2 linked regions of the Stegostoma tigrinum genome follow. The protein of the gene in region 1 binds, or shares a complex with, the protein of each later gene. Links are inferred from orthologs where the notes say so. Each region holds a gene or a part of one and is shown in the gene's direction. Other genes may lie near its edges.

Evidence for each region. The genes of interacting proteins can lie anywhere in the genome.
Region 2: gas8 (region 1) and iqcd share a complex: the UniProt entries of both Homo sapiens proteins name them as parts of the nexin-dynein regulatory complex. The link is inferred for Stegostoma tigrinum from reciprocal best matches to the Homo sapiens genes DRC4 and DRC10.

What each region holds. Positions count from the first base shown.
Region 1 is NC_081369.1:39,930,697-39,934,447, forward strand, and holds the start of gas8 (dynein regulatory complex subunit 4), read left to right. Parts: upstream 1-822; 5' UTR 823-943; coding exon 944-946; intron 947-2,156; coding exon 2,157-2,249; intron 2,250-2,560; coding exon 2,561-2,758; intron 2,759-3,751. UniProt on the Homo sapiens protein: Component of the nexin-dynein regulatory complex (N-DRC), a key regulator of ciliary/flagellar motility which maintains the alignment and integrity of the distal axoneme and regulates microtubule sliding in motile axonemes.
Region 2 is NC_081379.1:29,976,206-29,979,956, reverse strand, and holds the start of iqcd (dynein regulatory complex protein 10), read left to right. Parts: upstream 1-1,271; 5' UTR 1,272-1,353; intron 1,354-3,751. Other genes in the region: tpcn1 (two pore channel protein 1), read right to left, coding at 936-1,038. UniProt on the Homo sapiens protein: Component of the nexin-dynein regulatory complex (N-DRC), a key regulator of ciliary/flagellar motility which maintains the alignment and integrity of the distal axoneme and regulates microtubule sliding in motile axonemes.

The sequences.
Region 1 (3,751 bases):
ATCCACCTAACTTGCACATCTTTGGACTATGGGAGGAAACCGGAACACCCAGAGGAAACCCACGCAGACATGGGGAGAATGTGCAAACTCCACACAGTCACCGGAGGGTGAAATCGAACCCTGGCCCCTGGTACTGCTTACCATTGTGTCACCCTTTACTATCACCTTCCTTCACTTTATTTATATGTCAGGACTTCACTTGACAAAAGAACAGCACTCCAAAAACTTGTCATTTCAAATATAACCTGGCGTCGTGTGACTCTTGACTTTGCCCATCCCAGTCCAACACTGGCACCTCCACATCATATTTTATTTATCAATATATGCTGGCCAATGATCACAAGAAACTATGTTTCATTTAAAATATCACCATAAAATAAAAAAGAACTGGAAGTATTACAAATCTGAGACACAATCTACCTTTAAACTTTAGAGCTCTATATCAGTAACTATTACAGGAACCCATATAATCCAATCAGTTATTAGTAGCATGATTATAAATTACTAATTCTGCAGTTATTCTTTTTGCAAATATCCCTACATGACATTTAATGCGATAAAAGTTCTGGATATTTGTTCTAGCCTTCAGGAGATTATTTTCCCGTAATAATGAAGGCTCCCAAACCTCTTCCCAAATTGAGATCCACAGTTTGCACTAGCCTTTTCCACTGGATTCCATCTCCCGAATTCGACTTCCAGACCCACCCACCCCGGGACCAGCCCCGCCTCCCCCAGGCCGAGCTCCGCCCCTCCCTCGGGACACGCCCCCCGCTAGCGTCATGCCCCGCCCATCTGGCCCATCGGCTCCCCCCCTCCCCCAAGACAACCGGTCCAGCCCCGCCGAGCGCACATCGAGTCTCGCGGCATTTGGTTGCCGTTTCCATGGTGCTGGTGGTAAATAGACGGTTCAGGAATAACTGCTCAGAGCAGCGGCATCGTCAAGATGGTGAGTGTCGTTATGGAGCAGAAACGTTCAAACAAGAACCACATAGGCTTATGCGGACAGATTCGCACCTTTCCCTCCCCCCAAACCCGCCTCATATCCCTCCCAAATGCCCCTCGTTTACTCCTCCTTTCCCTCCCAAATCCCCCTCGTCTACTCCTCCTGTCCCTCCCAAATCCCCCTCGTCTACTCCTCCTGTCCCTCTCAAATGCCCCTCGTCTACTCCTCCTGTCCCTCTCAAATGCCCCTCGTCTACTCCTCCTTTCCCTCCCAAATCCCCCTCGTCTACTCCTCCTTTCCCTCCCAAATCCCCCTCGTCTACTCCTCCTGTCCCTCCCAAATCCCCCTCGTCTACTCCTCCTGTCCCTCCCAAATCCCCCTCGTCTACTCCTCCTGTCCCTCCCAAATCCCCCTCGTCTACTCCTCCTTTCCCTCCCAAATCCCCCTCGTCTACTCCTTCTTTCCCTCCCAAATCGCCTTACCCTCCTGCCACCTCCCCACACTTTATCCACCTGCCTCCTACCTGCCTTTCTTTCCATTTCCCCTCTTATCACCTCCATCACCCTATGCCACTGGAGCCAGCACTCACCCAGACATAAAACGTCCATGTCCAACATGGCCCGTCAGACCCAAAACCCAGCGATCCAAGCCCACCACACCATTGCCTGTCCTGACCCATCTGGACTGCCCTACACACTCACCCATTTATGTGATATTCTAATCACATACTTAGCCTTTCACAATAGCCTTCTAAATGTCAGCTGGACATTTAAACTTCAGAATGGGTTTTGATGATCTTCTCTTGCTGCGCTTGAAGGATTCCTGGACAGGTTCATAGCAAGATACCCCTGCTCAGGAAGAACTATTTCCATTTAATCAAAAATGTACAGATTTTTGATTACACTGCAAAATTATCAGTGGCAGTATAAGACAAACCAATATCAGCGATAATAGGAACTGCAGATGCTGGAGAATCCGAGATAACAAAGTGTAGAGCTGGATGAACACAGCAGGCCAAGCAGCAAGTCAAACCAATCTTTTGTTAAAAGTATGAAAAGAAGCAAAAACTGCTCAGCCCCGTAACAGTATGGTCATGGCAAAGTGTATTCTTGGTTTTAGTGTTAACATTACCAACCTTACTAAGAGGCTTCATTACATTTCATTGTGTATTGCAAAAGGAATGTCATATTAACTAAGGTTTTCCATTAAACAGCCACCCAAAAAGAAGAAAGGGAAAGGAGGCAAGAAAGCAAAAACGCCAACGGTGATCGATGGCCTTTCTACAGAGGCAATGTCCAAGGAGCAGGCAAGTACATCTGTTTTGTGAAAGTGAAGACTATGTACAAATGATGTCTGTGGCAGATTGATCAATATGTTCCAAAAGTTGGTTGTTTGAGCTAGTCCAAGGATGTGACTGACCTTTGAATTTTATGTAATCAAGCAAAGAACCAGAGGAAAAATAGAATTGGAGGCGTGTGAGAAAACAGCAATAATTGAATAGCTCTTTTAGGACGAGCTAAGTAACTTGCTGTGTGATAGGATTCTGTATTTATAAAGTTTTCCATGTTTCAGGGGTTTCATTTGAAAAATTAATTATTCTTTATTGACCATACACAGTTGGAGGAACACATTGTTCGGCTGCGTGAAGAACTTGACAGAGAACGAGAAGAACGGAATTACTTTCAACTTGAACGAGACAAAATTCACACATTTTGGGAGATCACTAAGAGGCAACTGGAGGAGAGGAAGTCGGAGTTAAGAAACAAAGATCGAGAAATGGAGGATGCAGAGGAACGACACCAGGTCGAAATTAAAGTAAGGAGCCTAATTCAGTAATATAATTCCTGGTTCAATCTCCCAAACTTATTTCAGTACTCAGTTATATCATCATTGGTCTATATCTTAGGTCTATTTACCTGCCTTTGTTCCACTTCCAGTATGTTTTTCTGCATAGTAACTGTTTTTTCCATTTCCTGCTATTCCCCTTAGCCCTGCAATATTTTGAAAGGCTGTAAACTCTTGGGTTGTGCATTTCTTCTGCCAATCACCTTAAATTGGCATAATCTGATTTTCTTCCAATGGAACTGTTTCTCTGTATCTACTCTAAGTAAGCGCTTACGATTTTAAATGCCTCTACCAAATCCCTCTGTCTTTAAAATGATCAGTTCCAGCTTCTCCAAGCTGTCTAACTGAAGTTTGTCTTCCCTGAAATTATTCATGTCAATCCTTTCTACACCCACTCCAAAGCCTTCACATCCTTCCTAAAGTGTAATAACCAGACTTTGAAATAATGCTCCATTTGAAGCAGACTGAGTATTTTCAAAAAAATGTTCATTGTAATCTCCTTGTTCAATCTCAGTCTTAAATCTTGAAAATGCCAAGTTTACTACAATCTCTTCTTGAATAAGGAGTGGCATTTGTAATTTTCCATTTCAAAAGCACATTTTCTGAATCTAAGTATTATAGTAAAATGATGGCTAATACATGTGCAAGTTCCTCACTGCTACTTCTTATATGCTGGAGTGGACATTTACTTTATGTTTAGTCTAAGTTTCTCCATTACCATTTTGTTTACTTACATTCAATTGATGAAGTTTCTCCCCTTTATTTAGTTTATAGAAACCCTTACAATGTTAGTATTTTGTCCTCTTCCTTCCTTGTATCATTTTCACAAAGTACCGTACCCATTAAAAAAGACCTTTTCGTTATCGTCTGTTATAATCTTGCCAACATGTTTTCAGATGTTCAGATCCCCATTCTTTTTCTCTTGGTATAGTTTTATAGTTTCATATCAATAGACAATAGACA
Region 2 (3,751 bases), on another chromosome or scaffold:
ACAGCTATGAGGAAGAAATTGCAACACCAAGAATATTTCCAGTGAAGCTCTGCCAGGCATACACTAAGAAAGGAATACGACTTCATTGGAAAAAAATACAATTGGCCTCAATATCCTTCAGGATTCTGAAATCCCTTTGCCCCAAGGATAGCTAATGATTGATAGCAATTGGTTTTATATAGGTAAAAGTATAGGGTTTGCAAATAAGCACTGGAAGATCAAAGTCAGAGTTGTAATCTGATTTTATTACTAAATAAAAGAGAGAGCTGTCCTCTCTAGCCCGTTAAATTACAAAGCCTAACAACACAAACGACGCTGAAACAGCTGCAAAGTAACAGAAACTGCAGTAGTCTCATTCTTATTATTTAATTCAGCACTGAAGAAAGTAACATTCTGGAAAACTAAGTCATGATCTGGAACGCATTGCAAAGCAGAGGAAACAGATTTAATTATGGCTTTCAGACTTGAAGGGCCAGATTTTGCAAGGCTTTCAAAGAGCCAGCACAAGCAAGATGGGCCAAAAGGTCCAAATGGACCTTCTTTTCAATAATCTAATTCAATGGCAAAGAATGGTTAACTTTGTTGAGGTATTCATCTTCTTTCAACATTAGCTCTGTCGAAAGCTGATGGTGCTCAAAGGGTAACCAGTCCACCGCAGATGCTACCTGAACTGTCAAGTGCAACCAGAAAGACGTTTTTAATTTGCTGTTTGACAACTAAGCCAGTCGGTTGCCGGGGCGCTAAAGCAGATTCCGGTGAGTTTTCGCCCTCTTTGAGGTGATCAACACGCGGAGCAGAATCTCCGACAACTTGATCTGAATAAACGGACAAATAAAAAAAGACGCAGATCGTGGCGCTAACAGCCACCAGGGGTCAAGAAAGTTGCATACCCGAAAGCTCTGACATGGAAAAGTATAACCGATCATATTGCCTACTTTCGTTGGGGATTTCCTCTCTGTCTGGGTCGGCACTGATCCCCGTGCTGTCGTCTGTCAAGATTAAAGGGACATCATCGTCGACAGGCAGCGTCACCGCCATCGTCCGGTATACCCCCACACCCCAAACTGTCGCCGCCGCCGAAGAACGACGCTGGGAGTGTGCGGGAGGCGGGAAGGACGAGCGAGCAGAGGGCGGGACCCTGATCCACACCTTGTCGGTGATTGGTCCAGGCCGACGGTCGGTCCGGCGGGCTCACTCGAGAGGAAACGTCAATCAAAAGCGCGGCGTCCAACAGGTTCGCGTGAAACCCGCCTCCTCCCACGTGGACGGCGCGGCCAGCGAGTCAGAGGGAAAAGGTCGTCCGTCTCTTAGCAACGGAGTAACCGTCGCTGGCAAACAGAAGGGCGGAGATAGGTGAGTGCGTCCGTTCGCGGCAGAGGAACCCTTTAACCCGAAAGCACCGGGGTCGGCGGTGGCGGGGGGGATCCCGTTAAAACGAGCTGACGAACGGTCTCTGTGCCTCAGGACGAGGTTGAATATTCTCAGGCAGAATATTTGAGAAATCAGAAAGTATCCGGAGCTCACTGCCCGACAGGTTTCTAGAGTCAGGAATCCTTAATACTTACTGGCCAAGTGATGGAAAATGGAATCCGAATAGATGGATGTTTGATGACTGACGCGGATAAGATGGACCGAAGAGCCCTTTTTGCGCTGTTAAAATCTCTATCACTACGATTCCTGTTAGGCAAGGGATCCAAATGTAATCCGAGTAAAAGGAACTGTAGAATTCAAAACATAAACAAATCAGATCATTATAGAACAGCGATAGGTTTGAAGGGCCCAATGGCTCCGAATTGGTATGTTTTTGAGCTGTTGTGAATTCCTGGAGAAGATTAGTAGCCACCCACAGTTTTCGTCCATCCTGTTAGAGAGCTAGGCCTTATGGTCTCGGGAATCAGTAAACTCCAAGGTATCCTCTTGATCCTTGGATCCTTATTGTCCCTTCAGTCTGTCATCTGAGGCAGCCCATATCAACGTAACACCAGGGCATTAATTATGACTTATCAAGTTGACTGCACTAGGTCTGAGAGACTTCTGACTCAGTTCCAGGTAGCCATCCACAGCATATATTCTTTTTTATAGTTAGTGATTGTAAAGTAACTTTTAAATTAATTCGTGAAATATGGACATCACTGGCTGGACCAGTATTTATTGCCTCTCTCTTGTTGATTTCAGGAAGGTGGTGGTGAACTGCTTTCTTGAACTGCTGCAACCCATGTGCTACAGCTAGAAAATTGAACATAATATATTGTTTTGATCTGAAAATCAACACTAAATACCTCGCTCAAGTATTAAAAACCCTTATCCTCCTGATTTTTTGATCATTTTTCAAATAGCAACTGTGATCATAATTCTTTGTGGAAATCAACTTATGGGTGTTTAATGTACTTCAGTGGGAGAATGTTTCTGTGAAATTAAGCATTTATGAAAAAAATATAATTTACATTTATATATGATAGTACATTTGACAAAGATATAAATAAACCTGCACATTACTGACAAGTGTCAACTTTACAAACTAAGTGGCAGCCTTATCACCCTAAACTCAGCAAATGAGGAGGTTAGTGCTTAGCTTTGGAATGTGTTTTTCAGGAAAGCAATCAGACAGATTTGACACTGAGCCACACAAGGAGATGCTGGGACAAATGGTATTAAGGATCTAATTAAAAGGAGGAAAGAGACAGGCAAGGAGGGAGGAAAGTCATGGCTAAAGGCAAAAGCACCATTTGTTGAGCGATGAATATCATGCCTGTGCAAGAGACCAGAACTATAGGAGTACAGAAATATTAAAGGGTTGTAAGGCTAAAGAATGCAATGCAGTAGTGATGGGATTGAACACAAGAATGAGAATTTTCACTTAAATAAAGGCAAAATTGCTGGGAATCTGAAGCAAATACAGAGAATGTCACATTTGCTGCCAGACGTGCTGAGTTTCTCCAGCATTCTCTGTGTTTGTTGTTGAACGAGACTTCAAATTGAAGCATTTCTGGTCCAGGAACCAATGTGCATGTGTGAGCACAGGAATGATACATGAACAGGACTTCGTGCAAGTTAGGACAAGGATGTTTTGAATGAACTCAAGTTTATGGAGGGTGTAAAGAGGAAAAACTGTTTAAACAAAAATCAGAAGTGTGTTACTATATATTCTAAACTATTTTAATAATGTGAACTGATATGATTTATTACAGTTCACTTTATTATAAACTACCTCTGTTTTTGAAGTATACTAATGTATCACTCCTACATATTAATATAAAATCTTAATAAATGCTATCAATATATGTTATCCACATCAACCTCATGCAGTGCATCCTCTGATTTTTTTTAACATAATTTTATAAAATTTATAGATCAAGTCTCTTCTGCCAATGTTGCAATTTAAATGCGGTATATTGGTAATACTCGTCTCAAAGTCAGAAATTGTGGGTTCAAGTCCCACTTGAGATTTAAGCATGTAATCTAAAATTGCCATCTAATATAGTACTGCATTGCATTGCCAAAGGTACTGTCTTTCATATACATTGCTGAACTGAGGTCTATCTACTCAGTCATGTTAACAAAGGAAAAACCCATGGCATTGATATGAAGAAGAACTGGGGTGGTTTAACTACCTAATGTTTACCACTTAACCAACATTGCTAATTTAAAATCCTGTTTATTGTTTATATTAATGATTAACCATAGAAGCATTTGAGGCACTAGGAGGGTCCAATAACTGAACTGACCCCAATTTAACTTTGGCATTTGGACC